Arabidopsis thaliana: one gene and its partner. The protein of the gene in region 1 interacts with the protein of each later gene in a biochemical or structural test. Each region holds a gene or a part of one and is shown on either strand. Other genes may lie near its edges. The genes, in order: HDA9 and AHL22.

Region 1 (3,928 bases):
CAGCTTTCGAGAAGTAGTGTTATGGATTTGTAACTGTACCTGTCAGTGAAGTAAAACGCTTCTTCAACCCCATCACCATGATGAACATCTATATCTATGTATAGAACACGGGGATGGTGTTTTAACAACTCAAGAATTCCTAGCACGAGATCGTTGATGTAGCAAAACCCAGATGCATCACATTTTTTGGCATGGTGCAACCCGCCCGCCCAATTTATAGCAATGTCACAGAGTTTGTTGTTTAACCTGCGTGCAGCATCTATAGACAAAATTCTCGGTCAGTCGTTTCTCTAAAGTGACAAGCAAACATGAATACCAACTGTGTATATTTACCTATGGTTCCGCCGGCGTAAAGTTGACAAAATTCAAACAAATCTTCAAAGACAGGACAATCCTCTCCCAGATTATCTGCAACACAGTAACTTAATTTCAGCTTAACATGTAGATTACAAAAACAAATTAATGAAGACACAAAACTTACATCTAGCCATTTCATTGGGGAACAAGTTCTGGTTTTCTGGATTAATTCGTTGCAGGAACTCTACATAGTCAGGAGAATGGAACTGAGCCATCTCGATAGGATATGCTTTGTGTGGACGCTGAAACAATAGAGAACATATACAGATTTCAATCGAGATGTACCGTGATATCATAAACAAAAAGAATAAAAGGATCAAGAACAAAAACAAGAAACATATATGATGAGCAAGAGACACTAACATAAACTTCCATCTTGCTATGCAGGCCATATGCAAGGATAAGATGATGGGTCATACAAAGCCTGTGAGGTTTCATCGGGTGATTCGGACCAAAATAGACACTCCCCACATCCCCTGCAACCCAAAAAAAAACATTCAGCATAACATCACAATCTCATATAAACTGCCTCAAAGGCTCCAATCATCAACAAGAATATAATCTGAAACTCGCATCAGAGTTTGAATCATGCAGAAAATCTGAAGTACGAAAATGAAAGTTATATAACTATCAAGTCTATAAAAGTTTCTCAGAGAGGAATCTCGAAAGAACACAATTTCAAACATTATATGCAATGCCAAATTTAACAAAAGTTCTAGGGTTTCATATTTTAGCAAAGAAATAACAAAGACTTGACCAAACCAATCAAAGAAGTCAACTTCACAGGTACTAGAGTCGTCTTCACCACAAGAAGGCTTCTATCTTAAGCTTAAACTCAGGCCAAAGAATCGAAAAAATCAGAAACTTCACCTAAAACCCTTGTTCTTTTCATCAAAAACCCTACTCAATTCTGGAGTATTTCCAAACTAATCGTAACCCTTTACTTATTCTAGACTATAGATATGAAAGATTTCACCTTTCGATGCATCGATTGAGCAATAAAGACAAAAACTAGTGCGGTTCAAGTGGATAAAACTTGCTCAAGAGTTACATCAATCTCAAGGATTTTGGAGTTTCTTTACCATAAATAAAGAAGAAAAGGGAAAGAAATGAATATACCATCATAAAAGTAAGAGATTTTGTCCTTGGAACGCATCTCTTAAAGAAGAAAAGACACGAAGATCGTACGAAATCAATCTTAAAGAAAGATTATACAGAGATATTTCAGGTCTGCTTAGATTCAGTAGAGAGATGAGACGATTTCTTCATTGATGAAGTCGCAGAGATTTCACGATTCTCCGGCGGAGCCGAGAAGAGAGCAGCAACGAAGCGAAAAGAAGAAGAGAGAAGAGAAGAACAAGGGGAGAGTCAAAAGTGAAACGATGTCGTTTTAGTGTTCTGATGACATGACAGATGACGTCATTTAAAGTGTATTTGATAAAAAGCGGTTTTGACTCATGGTTTTATAATACCAGACCGGTAGCTTTCCATCATTTGAACCGAATCGAAATTGAATTTGATACTGTGTATATAAATCAATCGATTTAGTTATATCTTCTTCTTTCTCTTGTCTGGTTTAGTATACATCTTCAATTTCAAAACATGTAAACTGAATCAAATTCGACCAAGGAATGATCACAATCAAAATGAGAAAGAAAACCAATTTCGAGATTATAATAGTAAGAAGTTGTTAGATTATATAAACTTGTTGAGTTATTTACTTGTTGATCTCCGATGTCAATGTCACTACCAGAGACCAAAAAAGACCAACGTCTCGTAACCACTGTCTACTTGATTGATAGGTCGATACAAACCACCGACCAAACAATCTAAAAGACAGACAAAAATCTCAACATTTTAAAGTCAAGTTCAACGCCAAAAGAAAGCATATCTACTAACCAAGATAATATCCTCCATTGCCAAAAAACTTCAATCCTTGAATCTGTTTCTAACCTTTTTCAGACCAAAAAAGAGCCGAGATTACAACTTTAGGATCCTTCGTTTTCACACCCATCCTTTGAAAACCTAGGAGCTTTTCTCTCTCAATCTTGTTTGGAGGAATCAACAATGTTGAGAGAAATGATGACCTCAGGAGAGGTACCTCTTATGGGACTTACCTTTTAGGTTTGGGTTTCTAACCTGATGCAGTCTATGTTTCACATGAACACGTGAATCTTCTTCAACACGCCCACCTAACCGCTCCTTTGCAGATAATCGACGGCGTCGAGTTGATGTGTGATCAACATTACCAGAATTCCTTTCATCAGCTGAGTATCGGAATTGTTCTCTGCTTATTCCTCCATCCACTGCATAGTTCCCTAGCTTGTCTCTGTAATCATATGCTACTTCATGTTCACGGAACCTTTTACTATCTGCCTTCTCATAAGACATTCTTGATTGCTTAGCATCCCTGTAGTTGTAATCATAAGGCATATTCTCATGCATAACCTCACTTGCGTTGTCTCTAAGACCATAATCATCTCTTGTACGCAAAATTGAATCATTCGAATGATAAACCTCTTGTCTACCATCTTGATATCTCATATTGGCATAAACTTTAACATCACCACCATTACGTCGTTGCAAACGCTCATCATCCAAGTAGACTTGATCTCGGTCATCAAAAAGATATCTCCTGCCTCGAAGAGCTTCCTCATCTTGCTTGCCAGCTGATGATCTACTGACATCAGGATGCATCACCCCATACGAATCAATTTCATGATCTCTTAGGAGTTGCTGGCTTTCATAGGGCAAATAGGCTTCCCTTCCGTCATTCGAGGACATTCCTTTACGCTCTAGAGCTCTAGCACCTCCTCGGTCCACAATCTCTGCTTTGGTGACAGCAGGATACATCCTCTCATCAATGCCAGAGTCGTAGTACTTCAGTTGTTGTTTATTGTAATGCTGATAAACATCCTTGCTTTCATTATCCAAATACGCTTCATTTCTATCAATGAAGGCTACTCTCCTAAGCTCTAGCGCCTTGGCATCTCCATGGTCTACTATAATATCTGACGAGTTGACATCACGATATATCCTGTCATCAATGCCATAGTCATGATCTTTCTTAAGTTGTTGGCTTTCGTAATGCAGATATGCATCCCCCCTTTTATAATCCATGTATGATTCCTCTCCATCATCGAAGGATCCTCTTCTACGCTCAAGAGCTCTGGCTTCTTCCCCGTTTACAAGAATATCTGATTTATTGAGACTGGGATGCATCATGCCAAAAGAGTTAGTTTCATGATCTTTTAGGAGTTGCTGGCTTTCACTTTGAAAATATGCTTCCTTTCGATCATTTAAGGATACTCCTCTATACCTTAGACCTCTTGCATCTTCATGGTCTACTAGAATATCTGATCTGTTGACATCAGGAGGCATCATGACATAAGAGTCAGTTTCATAATCGTTTAGGAGTTGCTGGTTTTCACATTGCAAGTATGCGTCCTTTTTATCATTCAAGGACACTCCTCCATACCTCCGACCTCTGGCATCTTCATGGTCTACCAGAATATCTGATTTGTTGACATCGGGATGCCTCATGACGTAAGAGTCAGTTTCATGATCGTTT
Region 2 (3,928 bases), on another chromosome or scaffold:
CAAACAACGTGATTTTGGAAAATGAGTTTAGAGTTTGATTAATCAGCAGTAACGGACTTGAAGAAATTCATTTGACCTATTACCCAAAATCTAACGGAAGAACATAACAATTTGACATTGTTAGTGACCTGTTTAACCTTAATCACAACCTTTCAACGATATAATAACTATGCACTAGAATTCAACATACATAGATAGACACAAAGCTAATTATCACCAACACATGAAAATAAAAACTCGAAAATCAACAATTTTATAATCTGCTAGTCAACGCAAAACACAAACCCCCTCTCAAACCTAATAGATCGATCAATCCCATGACCAAAACGATTCTCTTCGATTCATACGTACCACGAATCTTCGTCAAAGACTACAATTATCTTTAGAAAACAAAGAAGAAGAAAAAGAAAATTAAAACTTGACAGAAGAGAGATTATAAATTAAAAACAACGAACGTATCTAACTTGTTTTTTCTTCGCGATTTAGAAAGATGGTCTCGGAGTTCCCCAATAAGCTTCAGCTGGCAATTGAACAGAATTCATAAGATTCGGAGGCAACCCTTGTATAAACGACGTCGGATCTTGCATCAACTGTTGTTGCTGTTGCTGCTGCGTCTGAGTTTGCGTTTGCGTTCCACCACCCATTGTTGCGTTTCCATCGATATTATTAGCAACCGCTCCAGCTGTTTGCTCTTCTTGATCGTCTTCCTCCAACGGCAGTCTCTCATACGCAGCGTTTCCAAACGAAGCTGCCATAATCACTACAGGTCCTGAAGCCATGAGTGGACCAACCACGCTTCCTCCAACAACCTGTCCCTGACCACCGGCTAAGTAAATCGTTAGACCTGACGCAGCTGGTGGAGCCGGAGGAGGAAGGAATGATCCCGAGAGAGAAAGAATCTCGAAACGTCCGTGTAAGTTAACGACAGATGAGCCACCACCAGGTACTGAAGCTGGTTGTCTTATGGTAACGTTGGTAACGGCGCCGTTTCCGCTCAAAACGCAGATGCCACGTTGGCGACGGCGAGCGAAGACGGTGACACTTTCCATGACGTCACATCCGTTTGCTACTTCCATGACATGAGATTTGAGAGCGTTTGCGCTGTCTCGAGTGATGATGATTGGCGGTTTTGGTTTGTTCTTAGATCCCGCTGGTCTGCCACGTGGCCTTCTCGTGATGTGATTATCTCCTCCTCCTCCGCCGCCGCTTTCTCCACCGGAGCCAGGAGTACTTTGATCTTTTCCGGCTGAAGAGTGCTCGTTGGGATCGATATCAGCATCTCGGTCACGTTTTAGCCCACCGATTCGGTGCTGGTCTATATCGTGGCCGTGATTCTGTTGCTGCTGCTGCTGCTGATGCTGGAATTGATGGTGTGGGTGAAGATGGAGATCTCTTGAGAGAAAAGGTGGAGGAAGAGAGCGAGAGACCTGATCCATTACTTGATATAAAAAGCAAACAAAAAGTAAACAATTGAAACCCTAATTTAGTTAATCTCTCCTCTTCTCATCCACTCAACTCACAAAACCAGAATCTTAGCTTGAGGGATGTACAATAACTCAATTAAATTAATCTAAGGAGAAAAAAATCTGAAGTAGAGAAATTAAGAGAAGGGTAATACAAAAGTCATATACATGTAAGACGAAACTGGAGCTGCACTAGTAATACATGTAGATGAAGCTTGTAAGAAGAAGGAGAGAGAGATGGGTTTAGGGTTAGGTCAGAGAGGAGGAGGAGGTTAAGGTTAAGATGAATGATGAATGGGTTAGTTTTGGTTTAGATAGACAGCGTGCCGCATGGGCGGTGTGTGGGTCCTACCTACTGCATCACTTTGTGGGCTCTACAATTTTTTTCTTTAAAAATATTTCTCTTTGTTAGTTGTGTAATAATTTTCAGTTGTGTTTCGTCTCCCTTTAATTGAAAATTTGAAGTATAAGGTTTTTTTCTTTTTTAGTCTATGAAAATATTGGATGAGGTTTACTAGATAGTCCATGGATGCGTGAGATTATATCAAACATTATAATGGACACACAAATTGAAGCGCACGAGTCTTATATTAAATCTGATCAAAGGATACTAATTAAAAAAAAATGAAGCTCATGATGAAACTGATGCATATATGCATGATTTTGTAGGTGGTACATGCCTTAATGTACGGTCTTTTAATTACATTTTATCAATTCACGAGTCTTATTTTTTTAGCAAACAGTCACGAGTCTTTTCATTATATTATGTTTCTCGATGTAACGGTAGAACATAAAAAAAAAAAAAAAAAACAATTTACACATTCAAAAACTTATAGAGCAACAGAAAAAGTTAAACTCTACAGTACAAATAAAGTGGGTAGGATAAACCTTACAGCTTATCTATAGTTCGTTTAAACTTTTAAACGTCACTTAGTGATAAAATAAAAGTATACTGTGTTGAGGAGTATCAGTATTAATTTTGCGTTTACGTATCATAAACTTCGATTTGCGTTGAAAGAAGAAATTTTTTACGACCATTATGAATCCCGATTGCATGATGCATACATTAGACTTTAGAGGATTCGTTGGGGGTTGTTTGCAGAACAAATTTAATTATTTTCTTGTTCTCACATCATACAATTGTTTTTATGAACAAAAATACTTTTAATAATATACTACATGTGTACGTTAAGATTAATTAAAGTGCATAAAAGTTAGTGACAAATAATAAAGAGTTGAATTGGAGAAAAGAAGCTGAAATTATGAAGAAGAGACGTTATTGTGGTTGGATAATGACAGAACTTGTTTTAAATATTTCACTTAAAATCTATCAGAACCACTTAATTGTATATGTATATATATATATATATTATATATACACATACTGTGCTTTTTTTAGAAAAAAAATTATACACATAGTACTGTGCCTATTATATATTGTGGAATATGGATACTGTTGTTTTACTAAATCAAATTTTAATGTATATAGTCTCTGTGTACTTAAATTTATTTAAAAATCACAAATTTCTTTTATTTTAACGATTCTACTATCACATGGTTTTAGTCATCAAAGTGAAAATTGTGTATACGAAGTAGTATATTAATGATTGTGTTTACACAACATCAATTGGTCGTTAATTATAAAATACACCATCAACATCAGATTGAATTTTTATTCATTGTCTAACTCAACTAAAAGAATGTGGAAACGTTAAATTTTCAACTCCTTAAAATTATTATGAAAGCTGTTGCACCAGTTTGAAAGTTACCAATTAAACATTTCAAGAAGAACTGGCTTAAATTCCTTTATTTTCAGCCGATTCCTTTATTTTGCTTGTGGCTTTTTAGCATAAAGTAAGTTTCTACTACTAGGACTCTAGGAGCATAGTATAATATTCGGAGATTAATTGTGTATGTTGGGTCGATAAGGCAGATTCAAGCTCGTAAATCGCGTAAGCTTGGGGGAAAACTAAAGAGACAGGAAGTGGAGGAAAGAGAAGATAACAGGCGCGTCAGACGCCGTTGGATGTTTGTCCCCGTCGGTTGCGATGCCTTCACGTAACAAGACAATCCAGCGAGGACCAGCTCACACTCGCACGTGCAGCCGCTGACACGCGTGAAGGATTCATTTAATGGTAAATTAAATTACTTAAAACATTGACTCAGTTCAGAGATATGCCTGAAGTTCAGAAGGGTGGCTTTCACGTCACGATGGGGAATATTTTTGGTCACCAACGAGTGATTTTTCACAAAAGTTCACCACTCAAAATGATTACCTTAAAATATGTCAAAATTGTCAAATTTCCCAAAATATGTAAGCTTCTTCAGTTCTTGTTCTCACCCCACCAATGTAACATTCTCCGGACAAGACATCTCAAAAAGTGTTTGACACTGCCAGTACTTCTCATTACTTTCTTGTTTTCGACTTTATTTGTCTTATTTAAATGTTTTTTTTGGTACAAATA

The links.
Region 2: the proteins of HDA9 (region 1) and AHL22 form a complex in vitro, tested with the Arabidopsis thaliana proteins (one study listed by BioGRID).

Annotation. Positions count from the first base shown.
Region 1 is NC_003074.8:16,228,240-16,232,167, forward strand, and holds the start of HDA9 (histone deacetylase 9), read right to left. Parts: upstream 1,771-3,928; 5' UTR 1,514-1,770; coding exon 1,477-1,513; intron 834-1,476; coding exon 721-833; intron 600-720; coding exon 482-599; intron 409-481; coding exon 334-408; intron 260-333; coding exon 40-259; intron 1-39. Other genes in the region: AT3G44690 (uncharacterized protein), read right to left, coding at 2,446-3,928. UniProt on the Arabidopsis thaliana protein: Responsible for the deacetylation of lysine residues on the N-terminal part of the core histones (H2A, H2B, H3 and H4).
Region 2 is NC_003071.7:18,725,356-18,729,283, reverse strand, and holds AHL22 (AT-hook motif nuclear-localized protein 22), read right to left. Parts: upstream 1,781-3,928; 5' UTR 1,437-1,780; coding exon 483-1,436; 3' UTR 12-482; downstream 1-11. UniProt on the Arabidopsis thaliana protein: Transcription factor that specifically binds AT-rich DNA sequences related to the nuclear matrix attachment regions (MARs). Binds an AT-rich DNA sequences in the FLOWERING LOCUS T (FT) promoter.